4 linked regions of the Diceros bicornis minor genome follow. The protein of the gene in region 1 interacts with the protein of each later gene in a pairwise test. Links are inferred from orthologs where the notes say so. Each region holds a gene or a part of one and is shown in the gene's direction. Other genes may lie near its edges. The genes, in order: FHL3, KIRREL2, SLC25A46 and HIPK1.

The links.
Region 2: the proteins of FHL3 (region 1) and KIRREL2 interact in binary tests that used the Homo sapiens proteins (3 or more experiments, as listed by UniProt). The two-hybrid records come from large-scale screens. The link is inferred for Diceros bicornis minor from reciprocal best matches to the Homo sapiens genes FHL3 and KIRREL2.
Region 3: the proteins of FHL3 (region 1) and SLC25A46 interact in binary tests that used the Homo sapiens proteins (3 or more experiments, as listed by UniProt). The two-hybrid records come from large-scale screens. The link is inferred for Diceros bicornis minor from reciprocal best matches to the Homo sapiens genes FHL3 and SLC25A46.
Region 4: the proteins of FHL3 (region 1) and HIPK1 interact in binary tests that used the Homo sapiens proteins (3 or more experiments, as listed by UniProt). The two-hybrid records come from large-scale screens. The link is inferred for Diceros bicornis minor from reciprocal best matches to the Homo sapiens genes FHL3 and HIPK1.

The regions. Positions count from the first base shown.
Region 1 is NC_080752.1:51,939,269-51,947,213, reverse strand, and holds the start of FHL3 (four and a half LIM domains protein 3), read left to right. Parts: upstream 1-4,939; 5' UTR 4,940-5,011; intron 5,012-5,018; exon of another isoform or gene 5,019-5,095; intron 5,096-7,945. UniProt on the Homo sapiens protein: Recruited by SOX15 to FOXK1 promoters where it acts as a transcriptional coactivator of FOXK1.
Region 2 is NC_080773.1:8,745,030-8,752,904, reverse strand, and holds the start of KIRREL2 (kin of IRRE-like protein 2), read left to right. Parts: upstream 1-4,860; coding exon 4,861-4,895; intron 4,896-6,404; coding exon 6,405-6,633; intron 6,634-7,075; coding exon 7,076-7,532; intron 7,533-7,750; coding exon 7,751-7,875. UniProt on the Homo sapiens protein: May regulate basal insulin secretion.
Region 3 is NC_080740.1:33,690,320-33,697,764, forward strand, and holds the start of SLC25A46 (mitochondrial outer membrane protein SLC25A46), read left to right. Parts: upstream 1-4,443; 5' UTR 4,444-4,527; coding exon 4,528-4,804; intron 4,805-4,891; exon of another isoform or gene 4,892-4,982; coding exon of another isoform or gene 4,983-5,031; intron 5,032-6,717; coding exon 6,718-6,760; intron 6,761-7,445. UniProt on the Homo sapiens protein: Transmembrane protein of the mitochondrial outer membrane that controls mitochondrial organization.
Region 4 is NC_080743.1:46,662,872-46,670,863, forward strand, and holds the start of HIPK1 (homeodomain-interacting protein kinase 1), read left to right. Parts: upstream 1-4,991; 5' UTR 4,992-5,110; intron 5,111-7,992.

The DNA.
Region 1 (7,945 bases):
ATCCGGCGCCTACTTCTCCGGAAATACGCCCTCTAGCAAAGGCGGCCACCACCGGCTGCTTCTGGGAAGTGTAGTTCCCTAGGTCTAGTCTCGTGACTTTACAAGAACCGGGTCTTATTCGTCAGAGCTTGCCCACGTATTGAGACCTCGCCTTCGCGCTCGGCTGCGCGTTGGCACCTGGGCACACGTGGCTGGCGCTGCTGTTAGGCTGAGCTGGGGGTTGGTTTGTGCGCATGCGCAGTCACCTACGACACTGCCCTTGCCGCGTTGACGAGGCGCCTTTAAACCTAAGAGCCATGAGAATTTTACAGTGTACCAGAAAGCACTCTGTGGAGAGGCAAGAGACCTTGAAACCATATCTGGCTCTACCACTTGCTGGCTGTGTGACTTTTGACAGGTCACTTGACTTTCATGAGCATCGTTTTTCTCATCCATAAAAAGAGGATAATAGCATGCACTGCTTGCCTCATAGGGCCATCAACGGGCCCCACAGTTGAATGGAAGAGTCATATCATGACTTAACATCTGTGAAGTTATAAACTTCTGTCCCTCACACCCTCAAGGGAATGGCTGACTGACAGACTGAGTGTCAGAGACAGTATAATGTAATGATTAGGACCAAGAAACATGGAGGTGTGTTACCATCCTAACTGCTACCAGCCAAGGCAGTGAGCTTTGCTGAGCCTCGGTCTCCCCATCTGTAAAATGGAGGTAATGATAATACTATACCCACAGGATTGTTGTGAGGACTAAATGAAATAATATATTTAAAGTGCCTAATGCTGCGTTCACCCCTTAGCAAGTTCACAATCAATTGGAGCTATTATTTTTTTTATTACTAAACCTACCTCTAAGGATAGAGAGAAGGTTGAGCACAGAAGAGCATTCCAGAGGCATTTGGTTTCTTTTCCACCACGTGAAACTAACCTTCAGCAAGTTCTGCAGTTGCACCCATTTCCTATGATAGGGCCCAAAACTCCAGCTGAGGAGCTCTGGGGAAATTCTCTCCTCATTCCCCAGAGGTGCCAGTCCAGGAGACAAGTAGGCACAAAAGTAGCTGAGATCTGCCATGTAAAAAGTTTTTTCCAGGGGCCGGCCCCGTGGCTTAGTGGTTGGGTGCGTGCGCTCTGCTGCTGGCGGCCCGGGTTCGGATCCCAGGCGCGCACTGACACACTGCTTCTCCGGCCATGGTGAGGCTGGCTCCCACATACAGCAACTAGAAGGATGTGCAGCTATGACATAGAGCTATCTACTGGGGCTTTGGGGGAAAAAATAAATAAATAAAATTATTAAAAAAAAAAAAAGTTTTTTCCAGCTTCTGAGTCTGAGCCCAGCCCGACTAGGGCCACGTGCATTAACAAAATTCCATCTCATTTGTCACTTAACCATTGAAAGATAAGACCTTTCATGATCTGGCCCATGCCCACCTTTCCAGCCTCATCTGGATTAAGAAGCCCAGCCATCAAGCAGGGTGACCAGGTGGCAGCCCCAGTCACTCTTGCCACTTTCCCTGAGGAAAGCATTGAGTGAGGGCATACCCAGGAGAAGGCAGCTCTGCACACTGGAGGGCGGAACGTTGGAGTCAGCCCTGGATTTAAATTGGACACCAACCACCTATCAGCTTGTGATTTGGGGCCACATTGTCAAACTCTCTGAGCCTGTGTCCTACTCTGTAAAATGGTGATAATAATGACCACCACCTCCTATGGCTTTTGTGAGGCCTAAAGGAGGTAAGAACTAGCACTTAGCACAGTGCCCTGCATGTAGTTGGCATTTAACCACATGTGAGTTCTCCTTCTACCCCCCACACTCATGCTGTAGAAGTCACTTATTTCATCCTCTGTGCCCACAAACTCATTGCCAGACTTGGGATCACGATGAAAGTGTTTCTGGGCAATCTGAACGTGGGAATCTGCTAAGCCATGAGGCCTGCAGGGGCTCTAGGCAGCCCAACGGGTAAGAGTGAGCAATATACCCAGAGAAGGAAGGAAGTTTTCACACTGGAGGAAGGAGGGCTTGTGGTTACAAGCATCGGAGAGTGATTCAGCACCCAGAGGAAACCATGAGAGGCCTGTGAGTTGTCACCCAGGGCCTCCTTTTGAAAACTCTTTCGAGGTGAGAGAACAGTTGGAAGCCCCCTTCCACCACAAGCTAAGGAAGGGTGTATGGGGACCTCCTGGTGGGTGAAGGGATAATCAGATCCCACTTACTCAAGGCCAGTCATCCAGCACTTAGTCTTTGCTTCCAGCCCCGCCTCAGACACACCTGTTCCTGGAGAGGGGGGAGGAGTGACAGGGAACAGGAACAGGGAGTCCATGTGGCTGATCCCTAGACCTCTCTGGGGCACGTCCTCTGGGGTCAACGGAAATAGAGCAAGCAGGGAAATGTGAGCCCACTGGGGAGCTAAAGACACAGGCCCTGCCCTACACCAGTCTCCCTCCCCCACGCTGGGCCACATCAGAATTCTCCTAACTTTCTCTGGCCTCCAGACTCCAAGTGCAATAGCAGAAGCTTAACACTTGACCCTGAAAGGGGGGAGGTAGGGAGGGAGAGTCCCACGTGTTGAATACCTACTGTGTGCTCTCATCAGTCCTCACAAGAATGCTGGGAGACAGGAGTCCACCACCCTTTTTTTTTTTTTAATTATAATTGTCCTCACTTCTGTTCACTTTGATTATTTTCTTTCTTTTTTTTTTTTTTTTCCTGCTAAAGAAGATTCGCCATGAGCTAACATCTGTTGCCGATCTTCCTCTTTTTGTATGTGGGTCGCCATCACAGCACGGCCACTGACAGATGAGTGGTGTTAAGTCCACACCCAGGAACCGAACCCGGGCCGCAGAAGTGGAGTGTGCCGAACTTAACCACTAGGCCACCAGGGCTGGCCCAAGGGGTCAACCACTCTTAACAGATGAGGAGACTGAAGGTTAAAGAGGTGAACTGACTACAGAGGCTGTAGAGCATAATGGTTAAGCTCTTTTTTTGGCCTAAGGAGCTTTGACATTTGTTTGTCTGGATTTGAATCTAGGCTTTGCCATTATTAGCTGTCACCCTTGGCCGTTACTTACTCTCTGTGCGCCTCCATTTTCTCATCCTTAAAATGGGGATTAAAAATACATATTTCATAAAGTCATTGGATAATCAAGTGCATTAATATATGTAAAGTGCTTAGACAGGGACTGGTGCAAAGTAAGAATTCAGGAAATAATTGGCTCTTACTAAGGCTGTTCAGCAAATTTAAGCTGTGAGTAAAAACCAGAGACCCTAACTCTACTTTGGTCCAGCACCTTCCTTGCTCACTCATAACCCCTCTCTTTCTGAAGGCTGCTCACCTTTGCCCTCCCCTCGCCCCAGAGCGGACCCCTTCTTGCCATCTACTCCCACCAGAGTCTTCCCTGCGCTTCCCAGGGCTAGGAGCTCACAGGATGGCTGCTCACTCCCTGGACTCCAGATAGTGGGTGCCTGTGGTCCAAACTGGGGGGTGGGGGTCCAAACTAAAGTAGTGCCTGCTATTCATTCATTCATCAGATATTTGTTATGTACCAGACATTGGAGTAGGTACTGGACATGTGGTGGTGAACAGGAAGGACCCAGTCGCTGCCCTCATGGCACTTACAGTTTAGGGAGCTGCAACAACCATTATAAACAAGCAGTTAGTTACTTTGAAAGGAAACTTGGCCTCTAGGGTGACTTTGGACCTGGGAAGGCAGCATGTGATTCAGAGATGGGAGGAGGGTGCTCAGGAGTTCCAGCCTGGGATGGACTGACACTCTGCTCTGAGAGCGTGGCTAGACCCAGTCTGGGGGATGGGAGAGCCTCTGTGGGCCCCTGAATCTCTACTCTAGACTCAGAGGTTATTTCCAGGGTTAGTTTGTTTTGCAAACAGCACAGTAGAGCCTCCTCCTACACCCCCCCCCCCCCCCCCCCCCCCCCCCCGCTTCCAGATCGAGGCTATTTATTCCTAGTGACAAGCCTGAGGATCCCAAGGGGGCTGGCCTCAAGGACCTGGAGGGGGCCTGTGTCCCTGGCAGGCGCCAGTCCTCCCTCCCAGGCACGGGGAGGAAGCCAGAGGGTTGGAAAATGTAGAGGTGGGGGAGGAGGGGTTCCCTCCACTTCCCTCCACCACCCCTGCAACACCCCATCCATACACACACACACTCCTCACACCCCTCCCTAAGAAGCCCAAAAATCATGGGGCCAAGGATTAGGGTGTCCCCTGGGCCTTAAAGGTCAAAACTATTCCTGGGCACAGTGGAAATGAGGCAGGACTTCTCTGTCCAAGGATGCAGCTGGAGGTGAGGAGGTGGTTACTTCTGTTTGCCACTCAGAATTGTAGAATAAAGCCCTTTGAAGGTCAAGGCCCTATGGGAGGGAGAGGGGTCCTCTCTTCACTCTGTGTTTCCAGAGAACACCTTGGTCCCCATGACAGGGCCATGACAGTAGAGTCAAAACCACCCCCTCCTCCAGGCTGGATAAGGCCTCCTTTACAAACTCGGGCTGAGTGTGACCCCTGGGGGTAGAATGGGGGGGTGGGGGCACGAAGAGGGCATGAGGACCCTCTGTTCTCAAATAGACCTTGGTCGGCTGGGTCCTGTACCCCTTGCCTGAAACGAATACAGCAGTCTCCCGCTTGCAGCTGTGGGGGGAAGGGGGAGAGGGGAGGGAGAGAGGACGGCAAAAGCTGCAGGGAGGGAACAGGGGCGGGGTCCTGGCCGCCCAGGAAGGTTGGGAGAGCCAGGTTAGGCTGGGCTGGAGCGGGGAGGCTGGGGCGGGCTCCAGTCTAAACGGGAGGTGGGGGCGGGGGCTGGCCCCCGGCCTCCGGGATGGGGGGCCGGGGGCGGGGTCCGCACCCTGAGGGCAGGGGCGGCCGGGGGCGGGGTCCGGGCGGGGCGGGCTCCCGCGCTCACTTCCTCGGGGAGGGGTTGGGGCCGGGCTCCCAGTCGCCCACACAGTCCGTGTGCAGCCTGCAGCCTCGCCGGCAGCTCGTCCGGCCCCCGCTTGGCCCGGCCCGCAGGTAGGAGCCGCCCAGGGACGCGGCCCCGGGGTCCCCGCCCCACCCGCGCGAGCGCCTCGCCCCGCTCCTGCCGCCCGCGTCGAGGTGAGCTCCCCGCCGACCCCGGCTCCGAATCCCAGCGCCCGGCCCCCGCCCTCGGGCCGGGGAGGGAGTGGCGGCGGCCCCCGCCCGCTGCCCCCCGCCCGGGGCCGGCCGCGGGCGCCGGGATCACGCTGAGCCCCAGAGGGCGCCCCCCGGACCGCACCGCTGCCCGTCGCCCGGCGGGGCGGGGGCTGCTTCGAGAGTGGGGCGGAGGAGGGGGCCAAGTTTGAAATGGAAAAGCCAGAGTCGAGAGAGAGTCTGGGAGGGTTCGAGAAACTGAGGCTCCCAGAAAGCCCAGAGGAGCGAGAACCCGAGACAGGGAAAGAAGGGACGACAGGCTTCGAGTGGTAGCTGCAGAGATACCCGAAAACGGGGACAGAAACTTGGCCGTACACTCCCCAAGAGACAGACCGAGGCATAGGGACGGACCCAGGTTTTGTGGAGCATTTTAAGAAAAAGCATACAGTGACGCCAGTGAACACGTCCTAGGATGCTTCCCAGGGCCTTCGAGGGTCCTGGGCAAGTGAGGGGCCCTGAAGCCTAAGCTTCCTTAGCCTCGTGGTGAATCAGGCTCTGTGAGGCCTTTGGAGACATTCAGAGACTGGAGACAGACTCTCGGGCATAGAGATGCTGTTGAGTGGTAGAGAAGGGGGGTGGGGTGGGGACCAAGACATTCCGCCCCATAGAGACACTGAGAGGCAGACTTGGGTGTTCAGAGGTAGAAATCCAGAGGTGGGCTGTTGGGAGATAGCCAGTCAGAGGTACAGAGACACCCACAGCGTAGAGACATCTGCTGAAGTGTGCAGGATACAGAGACGTGCTGAGGACCAGAGCTAGACTCAAAAGACAGAGGTTAATGGAGGCGCACTGACAGCTTCCAAGACAGACCCTGAGATGAGGGCTGTGGAGGCAAGGATGTGGGGAAACGGAAACTCTGGGCCCACTGAGTCCCCATGAGGAGAGGACCTGAGACAGTAAGATTGCAGTCAAGGAGGAGCCCCACGTGTGTACCAAGACAACCCCAACTTATTTTTAAACTCAAATCTTGGACGTGCTGCTTCAGCCCTGGGAGACCTGGGGTGAATGAACTGTTCCTCTCCTGTCCCCAGAGCAGCTGCTGGATCCTGCTTCCCATCCCCCTTCCCCTAAACTGCTCCAAATCCCAGGCCCCATGGGGGGAGGGGAGGGGAGAGTGGAGAGTTTGGGGTTGGTGCCTGGTGGCAGGGGATGGGGGGGGGGATTTGGATTTCTCCCCTGAAGTCTCCTGTCGACTCCTGGGACCTGGGGGAGGGGTCTGTTCTGATCCTGACTCACAGCTGTGGGGCCTGGCCAGGGTCCTCCTGGACAGTGGGAAGTGGAGGGGGGCAAAAGGGTTGAGCAGTTGGCATGGGTAATTGGAAAGGCTTCTGGGTGTCTTCCAATCGCAGGGCTGGCAGCTGGGGAGAAGAGCCAGGCTCCTGTGCTAGTGATGTCACCCAACATCTCCTTTCCCCCTGCTCTTAAATGGTGACCACCCCCTCCACCACCACTGCAGCATTTCTAGGGAAAGAGAGACAGGAAAGGACTCCAGGCTGGGAAGCAGGGGACCTGGGCTCTCTGATATCTGCGTGACCTTGGGCATGCCCCTGCCCTGTCCCTAGCTTCTGTGCTCAGCTGTACAATGGAGATAATATACTGTCCTGCCGGCCTTTTGTGAGATCTGATGAGACGGTGGGTGGGAATGCACTTTCTGAGAGGCAAAGCAGCATGCAGGTGTGTACACCTGTGTACCTGTGTGAGGGGCCTCACAGTTATGCTCACTGAAGTCAGGCTGGCCCATCTGGTCTCAGCGAACCCCATGGCCTGGGCCTCTTCAGTACCCCCAGCAGAACTAGGGGGTTCCCTCTTTGTTCTCTCCCTGGGCCTACACTGAGAATGTCCATGTCAAATGCCAGGGCAGCTCCCTGACCCAGGCCTGGCTGAGAAACTGTTGTCTGACCCCAATATGAATGAGGGGCTGATAGTAAAAACACTAATAGCTACTATTTACTGACAACTTACTATCTGCCAAGCGCTTTCCAAGTATTATCTCATTTAAGCCTGACAACTACCTTAGGAGGTAGTATTAGATGGGAAAATAGGCTCAGAGAGCTTAAGTGATTTGCCCAAGATCGCCCAGCTTTATATTTACCAGCTTGAGCGTCTACACACCACATGCCCACAGCCATTTATCCCACTAGTCTGAGCTCTAGGAGGTGCCAAATGTGTGTGTCTAAGTCAGGTGTAGGAGTGTGTGTGTGTGTGTGTGTTGGTGGGGGCAGGGGCTGGGAGCCATCTGGCAGACTGAGCAGTCTCCCCTCACCCCACCACCAGCCATGAAGGAATACAAGACTGGCTCCCTCCAGTCCCCCAGCCTTGCCAGGGATAGGGGGAGGGGCGGGGGATGGGCAGAGACAGGTGGGCCTTGATAGTGCCCTTCACTCTGTCCTCACTAGAGCCCAGCTGGACAGACTAGGGGGACTAGGGGATTCTGGGAAGGAAACAAGCCACGCCCATACCCTATTTGGGGTGCCCCTGTCCCAGAGTGGTGACTGCCTCCCAGGGGGCGGACCCAGGGCTAGCCTGGGCCTGGGAAGGTGGCGGCTGCTTTGAGCCAAGCCAGGAAGGAAGGAAAAGGCCCAGGGCACTCCTGGATGGACACATGGCCACACTCCACCTGTGCGGCCCCCTGCTGCCCAGTGGCTGACAGCCCAGGCAATCCTTAGATGTTGGGCCAGAGGAAACCCCGGGCCTGAGTGGCAGGGAGCGGACTGAGAAGGAGGGGTACCCTCCACCTTACAGCATAGCCGCCACCCCCAGAAGTCCCTGCACTGA
Region 2 (7,875 bases), on another chromosome or scaffold:
TTTCCTAGGATTCCATTTAATTCTCATGGCGTTTGTGTCTTTTCCAATTTCCTGCCTAAACTCTAAATCTCCAGTATTTTTCATGAAATTCAGGTTTTTCCAAGATTTCCCAAGACTCTCTTTCCCAAGAGAGAGGTTTCATCCTTTCCCACTTTCCTGGCGACCCCACAGCCCTTGCTTGACACCCACCTTCAACCAGGTGAGGGAGGGGTCTGGGTTCCCTCCAATAGCCAAACACACCAGCCTCACCCGGGTCCCAGCCCGGAGGCGCTGCCCCACAGGCGGCCCCTCGATCCACAGCTTCTGGGCAGGATCTGTGGGGAGAGCCAGGAAGAGGGGCTTTTCTCTCTAGGCTCAGGCCTGAGGGTGTGGTCTCTAAGGCATGGGCACCCCTGGGCATGGGTGAGGGCTCACATTTCACATTCAGAACAAGCGACTTCTTGAAGGTCTCCTTGGTAAAGGCCTCACTGAAGGCCTCACATGTAAGGGTCAGACCATTGTCCTCTCGTCGCACCAGGAATGTCAGGTTGGACATGGAGATGTGGCCACCATGCAGGCCCTGGCAGGGAGCCAGCTTCAGACTTGGGGACTAGGGCACCCCTATCCATGGTACCAAAGGTCTGGGTCCACCCCAGACCACAGCAGGGACATATGAAGCATCTCCATCCCTCCATGTCAGACCCAAGAGGCCCGGACCCCAGTCCATGCTCCCCAAGGACCAAGGCATCCAGGATGACAGACCCCTCCTCTCCCAGATCCAGGAGTCATGCCCTCAGCTCCCTCCTCCCTCAGACCCAGGAGCTCGGCTCCCGCCTCACGTCCGTGACCGTCTCCTCTGTGGTCAGCAGTTGCCGCCAGCCCAGCCACCATCGCAGGAGAACCCGAGGGCGACTGGACTTGGTGATGCAGGAGAGCGTCACGTTCTTGTTCTCAGACTGGGATGCAGATCCCAGGATGGTAATGGCGCTGGGGGGAACTGCAAGATAATGGACAGAGGAGAGACGCCAAGCTGGGCTGGATTCCTCACAGACCAGCCCAGACAGATGAGGGACTGGGGACAGATGTCAAGGTATTTGGCATCAGACAAGCATGATTTGGGGCCACAAACATATGGTTCTCCGGGGCATGGACTGACAGATGGGCAGCTGCACCAGGACTCACAGGTGACCTGTAGTGTAACCCCACGTTCCTGGATCCCTGGAGATACGCTGTTGTGGGCCTCACAGCTGAGCCTCACCCCGTGGTCTTCTGGCCGTATGATCATCACTAGCAAGCTGCGGGCCACCGAGTGAGCGTGCTCCGTGCCCCACGCTGTGGACATGGGCTGGCCATTCTGGAGACAAGGACAGGCCTGGGTCAGCTCAGGGCCAGCTCCTGGCCCCCGCCCTTCCCCCCACCCCCACACCTGTCTCTGCCCTCACCTTCAGCCACTGCAGTGTCGCTGGCGGATTGCCCCCTCGGGCCATGCACAGCAGCTCCAAGGTCTGCCCTGCCCGCACATGCCCCTCATCCAGGCCTGGCCACTCAATGACAGGGGGTCCTGGGGGGACTGGGCAGCAACAGTCACTCAGTGGGCCTGGGGAGCCCATCCATTCTTTCCAGACCCCACAACCTGCCTCTGAACCCCCACATTTCTCCATGAGAACCCAAATCTTCCATAATCCCTGTGCTCCCCAGTTCCCCCAATTCTTCTCTGCATCCCCAGTGCCCACGGCTGACTCAGTTCCCACTTACACAAAACATTCATAGTGACTGAGACCTTGATAGGGGTGTCCAAAGCTGGGCTGGACCCCTCACAGACCAGTAACTGCCCATTATCCAAGCTCTGAGGTGTCACCCTAGGTGAGAAATTGGGGTTCTGGAGTCAGACACATCATCTGAAATTTAGGGAGACAAGGTGAAGAGATGGGGATCCCAGGTCCCCACGCCCGGTCTAAATCTCCCTGCTGATTTCCTCTAGGATCTGGAGTTCCATAGAAGAGATTAGGGGGTCATCAGTGAGAACTGGGGTCCTGGAGGCCCACACTTGGCCAAAATCTTTGTGCTTGATACCCTGGAACTGAGGTTCCCATAAAGAAGTTTTGGAGTGTCAGGGTGAAGAACTGGGTCCCAGTTGTTCATACCTGACCCAGGTTTCCATGCTTGAATCCTTGGGATGTGGGGTTTTCATGGAGAAATTTGTGGGTCAGGATGGAGGAGAGGGCGCCCCGACTCCCATACCTGGCTGTGGCCTCCGTGGTGAAGAGTTTCTCCTGGGACCCCGCATTCACGTTAGCAGAGATGTCTGGAATTATTTGTCCACCTTTGGGCAACAAGAAGGTTGGAGGGGTGCCAGGTTCTCCCCAACATAGATCTTGGGGAGCATGGCCTGAAGTCCTCAGGGTGAACACACTGCCTGCTCCCTCCTGGTTCTGGGGGAAAAGCACTAACTCCATTCCCTCCTGCCTCCTCAGGCCTCCCTCAGGCCTCCCTGAACACTGGAGTCCTCGGGACTGGGGCCTGGGCCTCTCCCTCCCCTCCCCTCCTTACTGGGTTGTATCACCCGCACCATCACCACCTCAGCTCCTTGTTTCTGCACCAACAATGACACCCATATCTCTGTCTGGAGCCTCAGCCTCTCCCCTGAGCCCCAGACCAGCAGTCCTGCCGTCTCCTGGGTGTTTCTCCCTGGATGTCCCCTCCCATCCACCAGGTCCCACACTGACCTCGGCATCTCCCCAAGCCTGCTCCTGCATCCCCAGCTCAGGAATGTCATGTATTCTGGGGCCCCTAGGAGGGCACTGGGCAGAGACACACCCCCTCCCACCCACTCCAGGGCTTCACATTGGCCCCACAAATTCACCCACACTCACTCCGGAGGAAAGTGATGTCGGGTGCTGGCTTTGCATCCCCAGACACACAGCTGACCTCGTACTCCTGCCCAGCCACCCACGTGACCGTGCTCCCTGCCTCGGGGGTCAGCTGAAGCACCTTGGGGGGCACTGGTGAGAAAGGGTCTGGGTTAAGCTGCCGCCTCGAGAGGGTTTGGGGGCTTATTGCTCGTGAAATGGGTCCTGGACCCCAGGTCTGAGGAAGGAGGGCTGAGGGCTTGGACTCCTGGAGCCTGGGGCAGGAGAGGGCTGGAGGTCCAGACTCATGGGTCCTGGGGGGCTCTCACCCATACCTAGCACAGAGAGAGTCACTCTAGGAGACACGAGCTCGGGGCCTGTCTCTGAGCGGCCGACCTGGCACTCGTACTCTGCGTCGTCGCTGAGGTCACATGCTTCAATGCGTAGGTGGAATTCCCCTGCAGGGGGGACCCAAGGTTCGGGGCCGCGGTCGGCCTCTGCTGGTGGCCCAGGGTCTCACGCTCTGACCCCTTACCTCTAGTGGGGTCCCCTTCCAGGCGGTACCGCGGGAAGCCCGGGATTCTGCGATCGGGGCCGAGCAGCAGCCCGTCTTTGGCCCACTGCACTGCACTGCCAGGGGCGCTGACCCCACACCGCAGCTCCGCAGCGGCCCCCTCCACCACCGTCGTGTTTTCAGGCAGAACCCAGAAGCCTCGGGGGGTGGAGGCAGGGATTGGCAACTGCGCCAGGCCTGGGGACACAGTGGGGTCAGCAAGAGAGGGCAGAGGGTCTGTCTGGAGAACGTAGGTGGGAAATGAGGGCCACTTGGCGCTCGGTCACAGGCCAGGATCCCACTCACCTGTGGCCAGCAGCCCCACGAGGAGCAGGGGAGCGCTGATGGGGATCCTCAGGGCCATCCCAGGTCCTCTTCCTGTGGCCCCACAGTGCCCACTGCCTGCCTCCTGCGTCTGCCTCTGTCTGTCTCTGGGTCCCTCTCTCTCTGTCTCTGTCTCTCGCTTTTCTCTTGCTCTCTCTTTTTCCGTCTGTCTCTTCTCTCTCTCTGTTTTTGTCTTCCCCTGAGTCTCTCTCCTTCTCTCCCTCTCTCCCTCTGTCTGTCTGTCTATCTCTCTCTCCCTGCCCTAAGTACCCTCCACTCTCCCACCTCCCGCCCTGTCTTTCTCTCTCTCTCTCTCTCTCCCTGTCTAAGGCACTCTCCCTCTCTCTCCCTCTGTGTCTGTCTCCCTCCTTGTCAGTCTCTGTTTCTCTTTCCTCTCTCCTGCCACCCCCACCCCTGCTCTCCTCTCACCATCACAGCCCCTCAGGGAGGACCCGCTGCTCAGAGTCGGGCAGACCCCAGAGCCCAGGAGAGCGACGAGGCCGACATGGTCAGTGGCTGAGTCGGGCCCTGTTCTGGGACCAGGCTTGATCTCTCACTGCTCCCTCCCCCAGGCGCCCTCCCGAGTCCCCAGCTCCAGGCATCTGCCCAGCAGGCTCCTCCCGGCCCAGCTGGAACATGAAATCCACTGTCAGCACATGCCAGGCACATTCCTCGGTGCCTCCCTAGCCCCCACGACCCCAAGGGCCTGGCCGGGGCCAGGGACAAGGGGGAGCAGTCAGACCCAGGCGGTCCCAGCTCAGCATGGGGGACAGAGAGCTGGGCCCAGCATGGGGGAGGACTCCCCGGCTCTTCCCTGCCCTGGTACATGGACTTGGCAAGTCCCTTCCTTCCCTGAGTAGACATCAGCCCCTTAGAGACATCAGAGATCTCTGCTGGGGAGTGTGCAAGAGTGTGTGTGAGAGACTGGGAGAGTGCAGATACCTGTATGCACGTGTGTGTAAAGTGCATGTGAGTGTGTGAGCGTGTGTGTGAGCATGGGGAGGGTGAGAGTGAATTGTGATCCGTGAAAGGGTGTGCAGAGTGTGTGAGTGTGTAAGAGTGTCTAAGGAGTAAGTGTGCCAGGTGCAGGGCAGTCAGAGTGGGGCAGAGTGAAAGGCAGGGTCCAGACCCCCAGCACTAGTTCTGGGTATAGAGATGAGCCCAGTGTGGGAGCCCTTTGGCAAGAACTGGTGAGTTCGTTTCTTGTAGCTTCCCTCCATCTCTCCTGTCTCTTCTTTCCTCTTCTGTGTCTCTGTCTCTCTTCCTCCCTCTACCCATCTCGATTTATCTTTCTATCTTTCTCCGTCTCTTTGAGACTCTCCTCTCTGTCTCAGTGTCTTTCTCTCCCTCTCTCTCTCTCCACTAGGTGTTTTCATCTCCACCAACTTCTAACCATTTCACTGTCTCTATATCTGCCTCTATGTGTCTGTTTTTCCGTCTTTCTGTCTCTGTTCTCATCTTTATCTCTCCCCCCCACTCCATACTCTCTCTCTCACACACACCAGAAGTTCAATAGTTGTTCTCAGTCAACCTTTGACTGTGCCTCTTTCTTTTGTTTGTTACTCCATCTCTTCTGATGGTCACGTCTTTGAATTTGATAACCATATGCTGGTTGGCCTGCCTTCCCCACCCCAGTGTGCACATACGCGCTCACAGGGGATAAGCTTCTTCTGCCTGCTTATCTCCTGCAGGAATTGGAACTGCTCGCTTTCTCTCTCTCTCCCCCCTCAACCCCCCATCTGGTCCTCCTCCAGGAACAAGATGAGGCATCTGGCCTGAGCCCCCACAGCTCCATCCTTGATGCTCCCTTTAGTCTTTCTCCTCCCCTCCCATTATTGACTCCTTCCCCTCCTCCCACATTCCCTCTCCCACTGCCCCCACACCTCCTGGGGAATGGGCTGGATGCAGAGCTGGAGGTTCTGTCGTAGGGGCCCTCACCAGATGGTGTCCCCCGAGGCCAGGGCGTAGAGCTGTCAGCTGCTGGGATCTTTAATTAGCACAAACCTTCCACCCTCTACCTTGGCTGTTTTCATCCTCTGGATGCTCCTGGGACTTCAGGCTCCATGTCTGTGGCTCCAGAGAGCCAGGAAGGGGAAGCGATGTCAGGTGTCTGGAAAAACAGCCTAACTACCTGACTTCCTCCCCAAGATTCAGGAGTCCTGGCCCCAAGCTCATCATCCTATTTCAAAATCCAGGCACTGAATCCCCAAAACAGAAAGCAGGAGTTCAGGACCACAATCCTAGAAGTCTGGGCCCCCAGGACCCATCCCTAGCAGACTCAGGAGTCCAGGCCTGCAGCCCCTTCTCCCTGAAGACCCAGGAGTTCAGGCCTCCAACCCTACCCCCCATACACACAGGACTTAGGGCAGATGTTCACTGTCTGCTGATTTTCAAATCCTCCCGGGCCTGTGTGGGGGTGGGAGAGAGACTGGTGGTTAAATCCACCCAACTCTAAGACTTAAGACCAGATTTTCTGACCTCCTGTCTTCCTCTCCCAATTGCACCCTGCTACAGGCAGGGGACCTAGTGGAGTCCCCGGCTCGTCAGAAACTCGGAATTCAGGCCATTAGCTTCTCAGTCAAGAGAGGTCTAAACCCCAGTCTAGAATCCTGGGAGTCCAAGCCCCTGCCATTTAGGGACGCAAGAATCTGAGCTCAGGAATGACGGAGACCCTGAGTGTGCACCCCCAGTCCCTACAGGCTCAGGAAGGTCAGACCCAGAGTCCCAGGCCCCCAGTTCCCGCTCAGTGGGCTCGGGGTCCCGCCCACCTGCCTGGCCAGCTGCGCAGCGCACCGGCAGGCCTGCAGCGTGGGAACGCCCCAGCTGGGCGGCAGCAGCCGTCAGGACAAGCTGCGCGGTTCCCAGCCTCCGCGCCTGCCCCCAGCCCGGCACCGCGCCGCCCAGCCGTCGCCGGGCAACCGCGGCCGAGTGGGGCGAGGGGCTGAGCCCGGACTGCAGGGTCTTGCGAAAGGAGGGGCTGGGGGCCTGGATTCCTGGATCCTAGGACGTGCTTTAGTTTGCAGCGGTAACAAGGCAGGCAGAGGGATATTTTGAGGAGGGGTTTGGGGGCGGGGAGAGCTGAACGCCCCCTCTTCTCGGGGGTCCCAGCTGCCCCCCAAGCCCCCTGGTGCCCTCTTCCTGACCCGCAGGCCCAGGGGAGCCCCAGGCTCCGCCTCTCCAGCGCGCGGAAACTAGCGAGGCCCCAGGAGCTCCCATTTATAGCTCCGTTTCCACTCAGCGCTGTCCCTCCAGGCCCGGGGCTGAGCAAGTTTCTTCCACTCCCTGCCCTCCCTCCTCCTCACCCCTGGCCCCCCCAACCCCGGCAGGATGCAGGTGTCCAACCCAGCCGGGACCCCCTCCTTCGACCCAGGTGTTCCGGCTCCCAGACCCCAGTTGGGCTGGGGCGCCGGCACGCCGGGGGCACCCCGCCCTGCATGCCCCCATTCATCCGCGCCGCGGCCGCGGGAGCTTCTCAATGGGAAGACGGCGGGTCTCCCGGGGGCGGGGCGGGCCGGGGCGGGGCGAGCGGGACCCGGCCCTCCCGGGGTCTCTCCCAGACCCGGCGCGCGGGACTGGCCGGCGCTTCAGCGCCTCAGAGCCTGCGGCGGAGCTGACTTCGGAAACTTCAGGCCACAGACGGGGTGCCTCTAGCCTGGGGCGAAGAGTCGGGCGCGAAGGGGGCTCAAGGCCGAGAGGTGGGAGGTGTGCTGCCAAGGAAGGAGTTGGCAGGGAAGCCAGTGCAAAAAGTCCGCTGCATCTTGGGGGCCATATACTCAGGATGCTGGTTCCCGCCCTCCTCCTCTTTTTCTGCCTCAGAGGGCGTGCAGGTACCGCACGGGGCCGGGGGTGGGGGGCGAGTAAATATGGGGGAGGATTGTTTCCAGCTGCCGCTCTACTGGGGTGCATGGCGCTGAGGGAGGAGAACTCTGGGAGCCTGGGCTTCCGGGTCTGAGGGAAGAGGGGGCTGGGGACCAGACTCCCGGGTCCTGAATGAGGGATCTCGTGAATGTGCTAAGCTCAGCTGTGCTGCCCCCCATTCTCCTAGGCGGGTCACCCCACTTCCTGCAACAGCCGAACGACCTGGTGGTACTGCTGGGGGACGAGGCCCGGCTGCCCTGTGCCCTGGGCGCATACTGGGGGCTGGTTCAGTGGACTAAGGATGGGCTGGCT
Region 3 (7,445 bases), on another chromosome or scaffold:
AGAAGGCGCAAATAAATAAAATCAGAAATGAAAGAGGAGAAATTACAGCGGACACCTCAGAAATACAAAAGATTGTAAGACAATACTATGAAAAGCTATATGCTAACAAATTGGACAATCTAGAAGAAATGGATAAGTTCTTAGAATCATACAACCTTCTAAAACTGAATCAAGAAGAAATAGAGAATTTGAATAGACCAATCAACAGTAAGGAGATCAAAACAGTAATCAAAAACCTCCCCAAAATAAAAGTTCAGGACCAAATGGCTTCCCTAGTGAATTATAACAAACATTCAAAGAAGACATAACAGCTATCCTTCTCAAACTCTTCCAAAAAAATTGAGGAAGAGGGGAAGTTTCCTAACTCATTTTACAAAGCCAACATTATCCTGATACCAAAACCAGACAAGGACAACACAAGAAAGAAAATTATAGGCCAATATCACTGAACATCTATGCAAAAATCCTCAACAAAATACTAGCAAATCAAATAGAACAATACATTAAAAAGATCATACACTATGGTCAAATGTGATTTATTCCAGGGATGCAGGGATGGTTCAACATCCACAAATCAATCAACACAATACACCACATTAACAAAATGAAGAATAAAAATCACATGATCATCTCAATAGATGCAGAAAAAACATTTGACAAGTGACAGCATCCATTTATGATAAAAACTCTGAATAAAATGGGTATAGAAGGAAAGTACCTCAACATGATAAAGGCCATATATGACAAACCCACAGCTAATATCATTCTCAATGGAGAAAAACTGAAAGTTATCCCTCTGAGAACAGGAACTGGAGAAGGATGCCCACTTTCCCCACTATTATTTAACATAGTATTAGAAGTTCTAGTCAGAGCAATCAGGCAAGAAAAAGAAATAAAAGGGATCCAAATTGTAAAAGAAGAAGTGAAGCTGTCACTATTTGAAGATGATACAAGTTTATATATAGAAATCCCTAAAGAATCCACCAAGAAACTTTCAGAAATAATAAATGAATAAGGTACAGTTGCAGGACACAAAATCAACATATAAAAATCAGTTGCGTTTCTAGACAATAACAACGAAGTAGCAGAAAGAGAAATTAAGAATACAATCCCAGTTACAATTGCAACAAAAAGAATAAAATACCTAGGAACAAACTTAACCAAAGAGGTGAAAGACATGTACACTGAAAACTATAAAACATTGTTGAAGGAAATTGAAGAAGACACAAAGAAATGGAAAGATATTCCATGCTCTTGGATTGGAAGAATTAACATAGTTAAAATGTCCATACTTCCTAAAGCAATCTACAAATTCAATGCAATCCCTATCAAAGTTCCAACAGCATTTTTCACAGAAATAGAACAAAGAATCCTAAAATTTATATGAAACAACAAAAGACCCTGAATAGTCAAAGGAATCCTGAGAAAAAAGAACAAAGCTGGAGGTATCACACTCCCTGATTTCAAAATATACTACAAAGCTATAGTACAAAACAGCATGGTAGTGGCACAATTACAGACACACAGATCAATGGAACAGAATTAAGATCCCAGAAATAAACCCATACATCTATGGACATCTAATTTTCGACAAGGAAGCCAAGAACATACAATGGAGAAAGGAAAGTCTCTTCAATAAATGGTGTTGGAAAAACTGGACAACCACATGCAAAAGAATGAAAGTAGATCACACACAAAAATTAACACAAAATGGATTAAAGACTTGAATGTAAGACCTGAAACCATGAAACTTCTACAAGAAAACACAGGCAGTGTGCTTTTCGACATCAGTCTTAGCAGCATATTTTCAAATACCATGCCTGACCAGGCAAGGGAAACAATAGAAAAAATAAACAAATGGGACTACATCAAACTAAAAAGCTTCTGCACAGCAAAGGAAACCATCAACAAAACGAAAAGACAACCTAACAATTGGGAGAAGATATTTGCAACCATATGTCTGATAAGGGGTTATTATCTAAAATATATAAAGAACTCATACATCTCAACAACAAAAAAACTAACAACCCAACTAAAAAATGGGCAAAAGATCTGAACAGACCTTCTCCAAATTAGATATACAGATAGCCAACAGGCACATGAAAAGATGTTCAACATCATTAAATACCAAGGAAATGCAAATCAAAACTACAATGAGATATCACCTCACGCCCGTCTTAATGGTTATAATTAACAAGACAGGAAATAACAAGTGTTGGAGAGGATGTAGAGAAGAGGGAACTCTTATACATTGCTGGTGGGAGTGCACTGGTGCAGCCACTGTGGAAAACAGTAGGGAGATTCCTCAAAAAATTAAGAATAGAACTACCATATGATCCAGCTATTCCACTGCTGGGTATTTATCCAAAGAACGTGAAAACACCAATGTGTAAAGATACATGCACCCCCGTGTTCATTGCAGTATTATTCACAATAGTCAAGACTTGGAAGCAACCTAGATGCCCATCAAGGGATGAATGGGTAAACAAGAGGTCGTATATCTACACAATGGAATACTACTCAGCCATAACAAGGATGAAATCTGGTCATTTGTGACAACATGGATGGACCTTGAGGGTATTAGGCTCAGTGAAATAAGTCAGAGGGAGAAAGTCAAATACCATATGATCTCACTCATAAATAGAAGATATAAACAACAAACAATCATATAGAGAAAAATATTGGATTGGTGGTTACCAGTGGGGAAGGGGGAGAGAGGAGGGCAAAAGGGATGTTTAGGCACAGGTGTGCGGTGATGGATTGTAATGAGTCTTTTAGTGGTGAACATGATGTAATTTACACAGAAATTGGAATATAATGATGTACACCTGATATTTATATAATGTTATAAACCAATGTTACTGCAATAAAAGAAAAAAGAAAAAAAAGAGAAAGTTTTCCAATCCACTATTTGAAAAATATTCACCTATTATTTTCTGCCAATATTCAATCTTCAAAAAAACAAAGAAAAAATACAATATATTACCGTTGGAATTTATTGGGAGTAAGTTGTGAGGGGGCCAGTTATTGTTTCTTCCCCTCAACTGGCTACCCAGTTGTCCTCCTTTTAATAATTCATCGTTTCTCCACTGATGTGGATGTGACATTGTGAGATGCCATTGTTTTTATGTTAAAAGTACACACATACACACACACACAGTCACACAGAGGCTTTTTTCTCCTTCTCCTTTTAATAACAATTAGTTTTGAACCTCAGCCAATCCCATCCTTCAGCCAATCATTCCTAAGGAACAGAGAAATATTTATTGTCACGCCAAGTAACTGATTTTAGTTACCCAGTAATTTGGTATTAGTACTCGAGTAATACTGGAAACACTTATTAAGGGAGAAATTCAATACATTTGCCCAAGCCACATCAGAACCCAATTTGAAAATGTCAATCTACTCAAGACGAAGTTGATTATCACTTTGAATAAGCATTCGCGTCTGGAAGACTGAGAAGAGTGCGTCAGGCATCAGGATTCTCTTCTGAAAGCCCTCGGAATCCTGGGCTTTCGGTGGGGAAGAAAGGACACAGGAAGAACCCATGATAGGCTCGATCAGATCTCGGGTGAGCGGCTCTGCCCGAAGAGCCCATGGAGCTGACGCAAACAGGTAGTAGGGGACTCTCTTCAGGAGTCCTCTTAATTTTTCAGCTAGGGTCTCCATTTTGAACGATATCGCTTGGGATTTAAATATCCTGAGTGATTTAGATGCACCAGACAGAAAACTACACAAAACTATTTATAGTTGTTTTGTGGCCTTAGAAAAGCAAAATGCTTAGTTCCTAAATCCCGGCGGGTACTTTTTATTCGTGGGGGGAGCGCGGGAACTGAGGGGAAGAGGGGCGCTTTTCTCCCCGACGTTTTCTAACGCTTGCTCTAGCCACCCATAGCACCTTTGCGTTCACTGGGCCGCACCAGATCTCTCAATAGATTTTACCCAAAACACTAAGTGCGGGAGGCAAAGTCAGATGGAGCCAACACCCCGCACCTCTAACCTCTAATAGCTCCCTTGTGGTAGGAGAGGCACTAGCCAGCCCAGCGAGGAAACAGAAGACCCGGGTCTGGGGCCTTTGTGTGGGGCGGGGCATCTCTGGCTGAGATCTCAGCGAGTCAGCTCCAGCGACGCGTTATCTCCCTCAATGAAACATCATTATTCGACCTCCTCTCATCCAGGCCGCACCTCCCACCCCAGTTCCCTTTTGGCATCTCTTTGGTAATGTGTTCCATTAACTCTGCAGCCATCGTCCACCTCCTCCCTCACGGCGACAGTTTTCAGATTTGGCCCTAGGTTACCGCCACGTCTCCCTAGCAACCGTGTCGCTAATGGCCACCGGAAGAAACCTCGATCACGTGCTCCGTGGACGTCCGGGTTTGCAACGTGACTTCCGGTTGTCAATTTCCCCGGAGGCGGCGGCGGCGGCGGCTGCAGCGGCGGTGGAGGAGAAGCTGCGTGGCCCGAGGTCGCCGTGGCCCCAGTGGCGGTTGGCTCCGGGTGGGCTCGCGTCATCCTGCCCCGTGTGCGATGCATCCGCGGCGCCCGGACGGATTCGATGGCTTGGGCTATCGGGGTGGTGCCCGGGATGAGCAGGGCTTTGGGGGCGCTTTCCCTGCAAGGTCCTACAGCACCGCCTCGGACCTGAGCCACTGGGTGACCACTCCCCCAGACATCCCGGGGAGCCGCAACCTGCACTGGGGCGAGAAGAGCCCGCCCTACGGCGTGCCCGCCCCCTCCACCCCGCTCGAGGACCCCGCCGAGGAACCGCTTCCCGGCAGCGGCGGCGTGCCGGGCCAGAGCAGCGGTGAGGGACGCGGCGGGCAAGGCAGGGGTGGGTGGGGTGGCGGAGCGGCGGCCTGCGGACCCCGGAAGCCGCGCCGAGGGTCCCGCCTCCGCTGCCTCTCGGCCTATCGCGCGCCACACCCTCTGCCCTCCTTTCGTCCTCTGCGCCTGAGCGGGCCTCCGCCCTCTTCCTCTCACACATGTTCCCTCCGGGATCACCTCCAAAAAAGACACCTGCCTTAGCTTCGGGTGCGTGGTAGGAATTTCGAAGGGTTTTGGAGTATGACATCCCATGACCCGAATCAAGAAAGAAGAAAATTGGGTTATTTACTGCTTATTGGGAATCTGTGAACAATACCTAATTCACTGACAGTTCTATTTCCTTGATTTAATTAATTGTATCTTTGTGTTCTGGTAAGGGAAGTTTTTCAGCATAGGCAGGCTTGGGCTCAATTGCAATTAATTTCTTTCTATAGATCCCAAAAAGAGTACTGGAAAGTTATAAATTAAACAATTCAAAATGCATATATGATTGCTACAGAGTTATCTTCTTTGGCAGTAAAGCTGATGTTTTTATCTTTTCATAATTTATGCTTTGATGGTTATAATGAGGAGCTCTTAATAAAACATCGGGTTTTGTTTTTTGTTTTTTTTTTTACGGCAGTTTAGTTAATGTAAGTTTGCAAGGAAGATAGAAGCCTGAGAGACTTATACAGTTAACAATAGTAAACTTTCCTAACGTTCCAGAAAATATCAGTTGATATTTTCTGTTAATATTAGGGGATGGTGTGTACACACAAAAAGAGAAAAACTGAAAGGAGGAAAGTATCTTTATTGGGCAAAAGAAGCTTCTATCTAACTTGGATATTTTTCAAGGCAAGAGGGAACGGATGGTTTCCCCAGAGACATGTTTACCTGGCCTTGTTCTGACTGTAAGGGAATAGCGAGGACATGGCTTCATTTGAAAGAGTAGAGATGAGAGAGAGCAGAGATGGGAGAAGGGAGTGAGAAAAGAGAGGGAGAGAGAAAAATTATCCCTTGTGAATATTGTATTATAGCTGAAATTTAATGTCTAGTCCCCTGGGGTTGTGATATTTCACCATTGTGATTTTGGGTTTTTTAGTCAAGGAGAAAATTTTTTTTCCTGTTTTGACATGTGCATAGGAATGTTTCCAGCTGTAAACTTTACTAATAGGACTATAGAAATGCCATCAGGAGTAGCACATTGGTACCCAGTAGCCTATCACAGAGATCTAATTAAGCAACTGCTCTCAAAATATCTAAAACTTGGGGAGATAGAGAAGAAGAGGGCTTTATTTACCCATTTTTTGGTTACCGTAAGTATTCTTTCAGTTTAATAATTTTGAGGTGTTTTACTTGTGACTATTGGTTTCACATAGATGTTCTCCACGAGTCACAGTGAATGACTAATTTTACAACATGGAAGGTAAAGTTGGTATAAGTATCTGTCAAAGCCTTCTACAGAAAAAATGTTAAGTCGTTTGTAGTCAGAAGTTGAAAACTGATAGCCCTTAGATTCTACCTACAGACATGTTGATTTGGCCCACACAATGTTTTAATGCTTTTTAAAATAGTTGCCAGTATTTTAAAATTGGAAGATACTATATAAAAATATGAATATCTTTTTTAGAAAAATCACAGCTTAGAAACCCTGGGCCCACAGTCCCGCGTGGCAACAATGAATTGGAGCTGAAGAGCAATTGTGCCTTTAGAAAAAAGTCTCTACCTTGCAACTTGCCACAAGCCCCTACAGAGCCCTTGACTCATTCAAAGCACCTCCCTGGCCCCCATCAGAATTTGACTTTGGGACCTGGAGTTTAAATGGATATCATGTTAATAAAAGAAAATATTTTTTGTTGTTTTTACAGTAAACCTAAGTATTGGTTATAAGTAATCTTATTCCTTCTATTTTAGAACAGTTGAATAGATTTGCTGGATTTGGAATTGGACTTGCAAGGTAATATTTTATCTAAAGATTTTTAATTTAAGTTTTTATTTAAAGTTTTCTCTTTAATGTAATTGATAATATTAAATGATTAGTATTGCTTCTTTAGATTGAGTCTTTAGAGCAGTAGATTAAATATTGAATAATATTTTGCAGAAAAAATTGTTTAAAACCTATAACTTTTTTCAGTAAGGATAGAGAATAGTCATTCAATTTTATAATCACAAAATAATTTTGTAAGGAATATTGTAAGAATTTTCATGTGTCTAGCCAAAGAATAAAATAAAATCTAATCTTATCTCCCTCTCCAAAAAAAGTAATTGTGCATTGAACCTTTTCCGTAAGCATTCGAATTATAATAAGATATTTAGCAACATAGAATCTGGATTTCACTTACAATCAGCATTTAATGAACACCATTTTTGATTAATGATCATTTTGTATAAGAAAATCTTCCAGTTTTGATTTTGTGATCTTTAGTGAATACTGTTTCAAAAACGTTGGAATTGCACAAAGGCTTAGATTTCCTGTCAGAATAGCTCATTGTTTTACACATTTTAATCAAGAAAAAATGACCTTATTTGCATAATTAAACCTGAGATGTTAATGTCAATAGAAACAAAATTTGTGTATTAAAGTTTTCCTTTTGCTAGAGTTAATTTTTCTTTAGCCTCACTGTTTATACTTAAGCTATCGT
Region 4 (7,992 bases), on another chromosome or scaffold:
TATGTTTTACTAAATCATATCTCTTTTCCTCTTGGGAACACAGCTAGATTACATCATCTCCTAACCTCTCTGCAGTTAGCAGCATCCATGTTCCTGAGTTCCCACCAACATAATGTGTGCAGAAGAGATGTATGTGTTTGCTACCTCCAGGCCTGGCCTATAAAAACTTCCCACACCCATCATCCATATTTCTTCTTTCCTTTATTTCTGGCCAGATGCAAAGCATCCAGTGGAGAAATCCAAGGCTCTAAGGAATGGTGAAGCTGCAAGAATCTAGATGGAAGACGCCTGAATCCCTGAATGACCTCATTGAGCAGAGCAACCCTCTCATCCCTGGTACTTAGCTCTAGCACCTACAATAGTCTGACAATGTGGACAAGCAAGAAAACTTAATTGTGTTAAGCCATTGAGATGTGGAGGTTGTTTGCCATAGCAGTTAGCTAATCCTTACTAGTCATTGAACAGGCAATGAACAATGTCTGCCACAGTCTCCTACCCAAGCTTTCTTTGCTAAAGATACCCTAAAGGAGTCTTGGAAAGAAAAATCCTAGGGACACCTCAGTCTTGCAACCTTGGGGGAAGGGACGAGAAGGGAAATTGTCCATTCGGGGTTGGCATTCACAGCCAAGGCCACAAGCATCCTATAAGAAATCATTGTGGGCCTGGTTTCCAGATCTTGTTTTCTAATATAATTCCTCATAAAAGGAACCAGGACTCCTCAGAGAAATGGCTATTCTAGGACTGGGGGAGGGAAACTACAAAATGAGTCTGAAACATCTTATTATGGGGACATGCCAAAAAAAAAAGAGGAACTTGAAAAGGCACTGACTAAACCTGGAAAATTTCAGCACCCAAATAATTAAAGAAAGTAAGGAATTATAAACCATTGAAAAACATAGTAATCCATGAGTCTGTATCACTAATAACTAGATAACTAAATTAATTTATTAATTAATAAGAGATAAGGGAGGATTGGTACAGGCAAGAATCATCAATAGATGCTAAATCTAGGGGGACATGTCTAATGAGGAGCAGGATATTTGCATGGTCTAAGGTGTCTCCAAACAGATTGCTTATTACAAGGAAAAAAATAATAAAATATACTGTGGAGAAGTCAGACGCCTCAACAAGGTGTTCAAAATTATTATCACCCAGTGAGAGACACACACATCATCTGACTTTGGGTATGATATCCTGAGAAGGACACAACATCACTTTTGTAGTATTCTGGCTAGAAATGGATAACCTGAATCTAATAATGAATAAACATGAGACAAACATAAATGACAAACATCAAATGATGAACATTCTATTATTTAAAAAAAAAAAAGGGCCTGTACAGTCATGCCCTCGTTAACAGGGATACATACTGAGAAATGCATCTTTAGGAGATTTCGTCGTTGTATGAACACCATAGAGGATACTTACACAAACCTAGATGGTATAGCCTACTACACACCTAGGCTATACGGTACTAATCTTACAGGACCACCGTCATATATGCCGTCTGTTGTTGACCAAAATGTTATGTCGTACATGACTGTATTTTTAAAAATAGCAAAGACAGTATTCTTAAAAATATCCAGAAAAGCTAAAGAACTGTTTCAGATTAAATGAGACTAAAGAGATATGACAATTAAGTGCAAAATATGATCCTAAACTGGATCTTGTACTGGAAGGGAAAAAAATGGTAAGAAGAACATTATTGGATTAATTGACAAAATTTGGAATGTAAATGGTAGATCAAAGTATTATATCAATGTTAAGTTTCCTGGAATTGATAATTGTGTATATTGTGTATGTAACAGAAGGTACTTATTCTTAACACATTCAAATATTAAGGGATAAGGGTCATGATGTATGCAATTTACTTTCAAATGGCCAGAAAAAAATGTGTGTGTATGTATGTGTTATCTGTCTACCTATATGAGAATGCAAATATTAAAACAAAAGGGGCAAAATGCTAATAAGTGAATCTGAGTGAAGGGTATATGGGTGCCCTTTTTATTATTCTTGCAACTTTTCTATACATTTGAAATTATTTCCAAATAAAAAGTTTTTTGGAGCCTAGATTAAAAGAATCATTGAGGATTCCTTCTTATAGGTTCAAAGGATTTTTCCATGTTCTGCCTCCTATCCTTTACTTCAAATCTTCACTCTCATGTGGTTTTCCCAGTTTTACAACTGTTGGCTTCTACCTGAATTCTCTTTTTCCTCCTGGCCCCTTGGATTCACTGCTTGTTTGGATGGTTTGCCTAGGTTTGTGACTCAGCCTCTCTCAAGACACAGCCTTTGGTGAGCTTCTCCTCCTTGGCCTTAAGTACTGCAGCTCCTGAGCAAGTCACTTCTTGTCTGCAACAATGAATCTAGGCTCTAGGCCCTAGGGGGATGTCATACCCTAGATGAGACTTCAATGCTTCCAACTAGCAACAGCTCCATCCCCCTCTCCAGCTGCTCTGACTTTGTCTGGGAGGAGATAGTTCACATATCTGCCTCCCTCTCTCCGTGTTCCCTGCTGGATCAAACCCTCATCATAGTTTCCTAGTTAGGCTCTCTTTCTCTAGTCTTCACCCACTCTAGCCAGCTATCCACCTCCCTGCTGCCACCAGATCTCTCTTTAAGCATAGATTCCCTCATAATACCTGTCGGATCAAACCTCTAATAGCTCTTCATTGCCTTTCAAAAATCTAACTCAATCTACTTTATGAATTCCATATCCTGCCACTTCTCTGCTGAACTGTAAGCTCTTTCAGGGGATGGACCATGCCTTTTCTTCTTTGTATCTTTAACTTCTAATATAGTGCCTGGCACACAGAAGATACTCAATAGATATTTGCTGAATGGACAAATGAACTCCAGCTACATTAAACTCTGAAACTTCTTTGACCATACCACGCTCAAATAGTGCCTTCTCTGAATGTGTTCCCTGACTCCGTCATTCAAATCTTATATATGTCCCCATGCTTTTTACTCCTCACTAGACTGTAAGCTCTCTGAGCGAAAAGACCAAGTCTTTTTCATCTTGCATCTCACCCAGTGTCTAGGAGAGTGCCTGGTGTAGAGCAGGCACACAAGTAGTTTGTTGGATGACAAATGAATGATATCAGAGAGAGGAAACTACTGGATTTTAAGAAGTCTTGTGGTGAGATAGACTGAGGAAATGACCTAAGAACAATGAAAACAGAGATCAACAAGTATAAATAAATAAGGTACAAATAAGTAAATTAAGTAGTCAGATGGTGACGCAGAACTGAACAATTACAGTAAAGTGGGGGTCAATCAGGAAAGGCTCCCTAAAGGTGAATTTTGAGATGTATTTGAAAAGAGGAAAGAAAGATAATTTGGACAAGTAGAAGCTTAGCAGCATGTCATGGAGTTAGGTTGAACCAAGGCATGGGAAGCGATGTGTGTGTTTCAAGTCTGCTTTTGGAGCAGGATCTGTTCTACCCCAGAACTCAAGTTCTGCCTTTTTCCTGGCTCCCCACACAGGCCTACTGGCCCACTCTATATGTCTTGATGTTTCCCAGGTCACCCCGATGTAGGTCTCTGTGTTCGCTAAGTTTTTGTGAAAATAAACAAAACTACCCTGTGGGATTGAACACTTTTGCTAACCCTAGTCCTCTAGGGAAATAAACTTCCCTGTGCCCAATAAAATAGAACTGCTCCCAGTGTTGCTAAGCCAGGCGAGAAACCCAAAGGTAGTACAACCACTTCAGCACATCTTTACAAAAATTACCTTTTTGTGAGGAGATGGGGATCCAGAGGTCAAGGATGTATAATGAATGAGATCTGAGAAATACAGTTTGATATCAGAATCTTGTCTCAGCCACATCTGCCCCCCCTCCTCAAAGAGTACATGCAAAAACCTATGGTGCTGGACAGTCACTTTTAGGGCTCAGATCATTGCTGCCTCCAGCACTTGTGGGATAGAAAAAATAGATAGATTATACCACCTGTCTCCCTAAAAATGTCCCCCACTTTAGGAATTAGAACATTTTACACCGCAGGAGGTATATCTGAAGTCCTACAGAATCTCTTGACCTTGGGAGATGGCAACTGTCCTTTTAGTAGGGTAATCTAGTTGTCACGCAGTGTCCACTTTTTTTCAGAATGTTATGTGCCCAATGCATTCCATTTCCTGAATATCCAGCCTTACTATCTCCTGGTGGAGTCAAGAAAATTATGGTAGCATTTGCTCACTGCATGTTTTGAGGGGTTGGGTTCAGAGCACAGCTACTCTTTCTCACCTCTTAATGCAAACACAGGTTTCCAAGGCAGCAATGGGTGAGCCACTAAGGGGCACTTATGTTCTTGGAGGCTTACAGATCCCATACACGGATGTCACTCTGCTAGAACGTCTCGACATGGCAACGAAACATTAAAGCCTAAACTGAGGTAATTCCTCAACCAGTAGGGGGGCTTCCCAGGTAGGCACTGCCTCCTCGCGCGCTGCCCAATCTCTGGGGGTGTCACACCAGACTGTGGTGATGTCACACTGGCTGGACCCCCTACCGCCACCAAGCACCTTTAAATCACCGCGGAGTCTGCCGCGCGGAGGGGTCGGGGAATCTCGCCCCCGCACTCGGTCCAGGCTGGCTCCCCACGGAGGGACCCCCATCCCCACCCCCACGCTCACCCCCACTCCCACTCCCACTCCCACCAGTACTATGCGGTAGTTCTCATCCGTCCGCTCCTCGGCACTTCCGCCTCAGTAGGTGTCATGGCGCGGGGCGGGTGAAGAGTTCCCGCGAGGCGGGGCCGGCCGGATGGGGGCGGCCGCTCGGCGCTCAGCTCATCGGGTCTGGCGACAACGGCGGCTGCGGAGCGAGGGGCCCGGAGGTGGCCCCGGGCGGCAGCGGGAGGCCGAGGCGGGAGCGCGCGGGGCTGAGGCGGCGGCGGCGGCAAGAGGCCGGGCGGCGGAGCGGGCGGGAGGCTGAGGGGGCTCCCCCCGCGGGACGGGCGCGGGGACGGCTCCGGGGGGCGGGGGCCGGGGCCCGGGCCGGCTCGTGCGGGGGGTATGATGACCCGGCGGCGGGGCCCAGGATCTCGTCTCCTCCGCCGCCTCCTCACGGCAGCCCCAGCTCGCGGCTGAGAACCAGACACACCGGCGGTGAGTGGGGACGGGCGGGAAGGGGTCTCGGCAGGGAGCGACCTCCTATCCGCTCCCCGAGGCGGGGCCGGACCGGCCCGGCCTGCGGGGGGCGCTTCCCTCAGCTGGCCCCCATCCGGACCCGGCGCCGCCTCCTGCGGCCCGGCCCCTCACGGCCGCCGAGGGGATTGCGTTCCCAGGAAAACCAGGGAGGCTCCGGGCTCGTTTTCGGGGCAACTCCCCCTGTCTCCTGCCACTTCTCTCCTGGGCGTGTTGTTGTCCTCAAATGACAGGAGGCCGCCTTGCGTCTCCTCATCCGGCCGGTTTTTTTCCCGGCTGTCGTGGCAGGGTCTCAATGTGTGGCTTGTGCGTGTGTATTTCACAGCTCTGCTTATCACCATGGTTTTGGGTGATCTGTGCTGTTTGGGACCAGGAAGCGGTGTCTGGAAAGGACGGAGGTGGTGGGGTGGGTGTGGGAGCTTTCCTATTCTCTCCGCGAACGCTCTGTAATCGTGGTTTGTAATTTGTAATGGTGGAGACTCCATGGGACCAGCCCACCTAATGTATATCTGTGCAAGGCACATCTAGAGGTCTGGCTTGGGGGGAAACTTTTGCTGTCTGTCGCCACTTTCCCAAAGCTTTCGTTAAAAAAAAAAGAAAAAAGGTGAGGAAACAACCAAAACTCTTGGGTAAGGCCTGCACTGTTCACGGATCTGTGAGAAAGAGGCCCTTTTTTGTGCCTAGCAACCAAGACCTCGGAGCTCTGGTTTAACCTCCCGTTTGTTGTGGTGACAAACCGTGAGCATTGGCCTGTGTTTATGCTGGGCGCGCTTTCTTTCCTGTTTAGGTGGGGGAAGGGAGGAGGGACTAGAGAAGGGAAAAAACAACCCCAAGCTCCAATATGTCTTTTCTCCACTTAAACCACTGACTCAGTTGTAGAGAAACTCCTTTTGAGGCAGCCCTAGATGCTTTTTCTTAGTGACACTTTGGGAATTTTCAGTAATTGCATCAAACTGTTCATTTCAACCATAGACTCTTCTGCCCAGTCTATCCTTTATCTTGTTTCCTAGTAACTCGGATGAAAACAGCAGCGTGGCTTCCTGCTCCTGATGAAGTGGGGTTAAATTAAGTTGCTGATGCCCTCAGCAAAACCTACAATTTTGCTCTTGTTTGTGTAAAGCTATTTTTGATTCCTGGTCTGTAGTGTTGTTGTTTTTTTTAAAGATTATAGAGAATGCAAATTATTACCAGCTTTTTTTCATATATAGGTCTAAAGCCTTCTGTAAAACATTTAAAAAATCTAACAAGTCCTTTTACCTAATAGTTGTTATTCAGCTGGTGATTTTGGATCTTTACATGTAATTATCTCAGGGTTCTGTGTTATAATACTGGTATGATGAAGTCTATCATTGACTTTAAGATACTGTGCCTGGCTTGAAGGATATTTTGGTAAAGTACTTGTGGTTGGAACTGGAGGCAGCCAAGCCAGTAAAGCATCTGAGAGGTAAAACGGTGAATGAGATTTTGTAAACATACTGGCTCTGGTTGGTAAGTAGGACTTTTGCTGGTGATATGTTTATGAATACTTTATATATCTTTGGACGTTGTAGTTTTATGGTTTGTAGAGCAAATTGATTGGTAGATTGTAGAGCAAATTGATTTTTTTCCTAAAAGAAAAAGAAGATAATCTCAAAATTCTCTGGAAAATAGAATTCTTTCATTCGTGGTTTTGTTTTCATCTGCACAGCTCAGTCAGTGGTTGTTGTTGGTAGAAATCAGTGAGCCTGCCTTGTAAACTTCTTACACTTAGAACTTGTGCAACTTGTTGTTAGTTGTATATTGTAACTGGTCCTTTTGTAATTCGAAGTAATTTTGCAAACATGAACTTCCTGATCTACTCTTTTATTTTCATTTTCATAACTATATAAAGCAATCCGTACTTTTTTTAGGATTTTTTTTTTTTTTTGAGTTACAGTTATTAATTCCTCCAAGTTGCTTCCCTTAGATTTCAGGCCATTCTGAACACAAGCCATGAAAATCATTTTTCCTTCAGGTACCACTTCAGCAATTACTGATTTGCTCTTTGGTTCCTTTTTTGGTTTTTGTTTCTAATCTCTCAGCTCCCTAAATGCCTTATGTATTTTTGTAGAGCATAATTTGGCACTAAAAAAAAAATTTACATCCTGTTTTTATATTTTTTTCTTGCGTGTCATATCACTTGAGCAACATTGTAAGCTCTCTGAAGATAGGGAAACTTATGCCTATTTCTTTTGGGTTCTTTAAGGGCACCTGGTATAGTGCTGTCCCCAGAGAGCTTAACGGAAGAGAATCAGAAGACCTGAATTCTTTGCCAGCATCGCCACTCATTAGCTCTGTATAAAACTTGTTTGGCTTTCTTGGGTCTCCTTTTTCTCATCTTGGAATTAGGGAGTTTTGGAGAGTCTTTTAAGGTCCGTTTTAGCTATAACAATCTCTGTACTTTTTTGCCAGTGTCTTCTGCTCCAAGCAAATACATCTTCTTAATCTGAACAGTTTTTCATTTTTCCACTTCCCCTGGCATGCTGGGAAAAGTTATCTCACTCATCTGAAAGAACTTCTTCCACCTTCCATATGCCTAATTGTTGTTACCTTACTTAAGTCTTGTTTTCCTTAGTCCTTTGCTGGCTGATCTAAACAGAGGTCTCTCTCAGTGTTTATGTTTTATATTGATTTGTGTGTTGTTAATGTGACATTTTTTTTGTGCTAGAACTCCTCAGGGTATGGTTTTCTTTATTCTAACCTTTTTAGACCTCATAGACTGTCGTGTGCACATACTAAGATAGTACCTTTTTACCAAACACAAAAAGCACCTCCTTTTCTCTTGTTTTGTTGCTATGGATTTGTCATTCCAAATAAATCTGAGA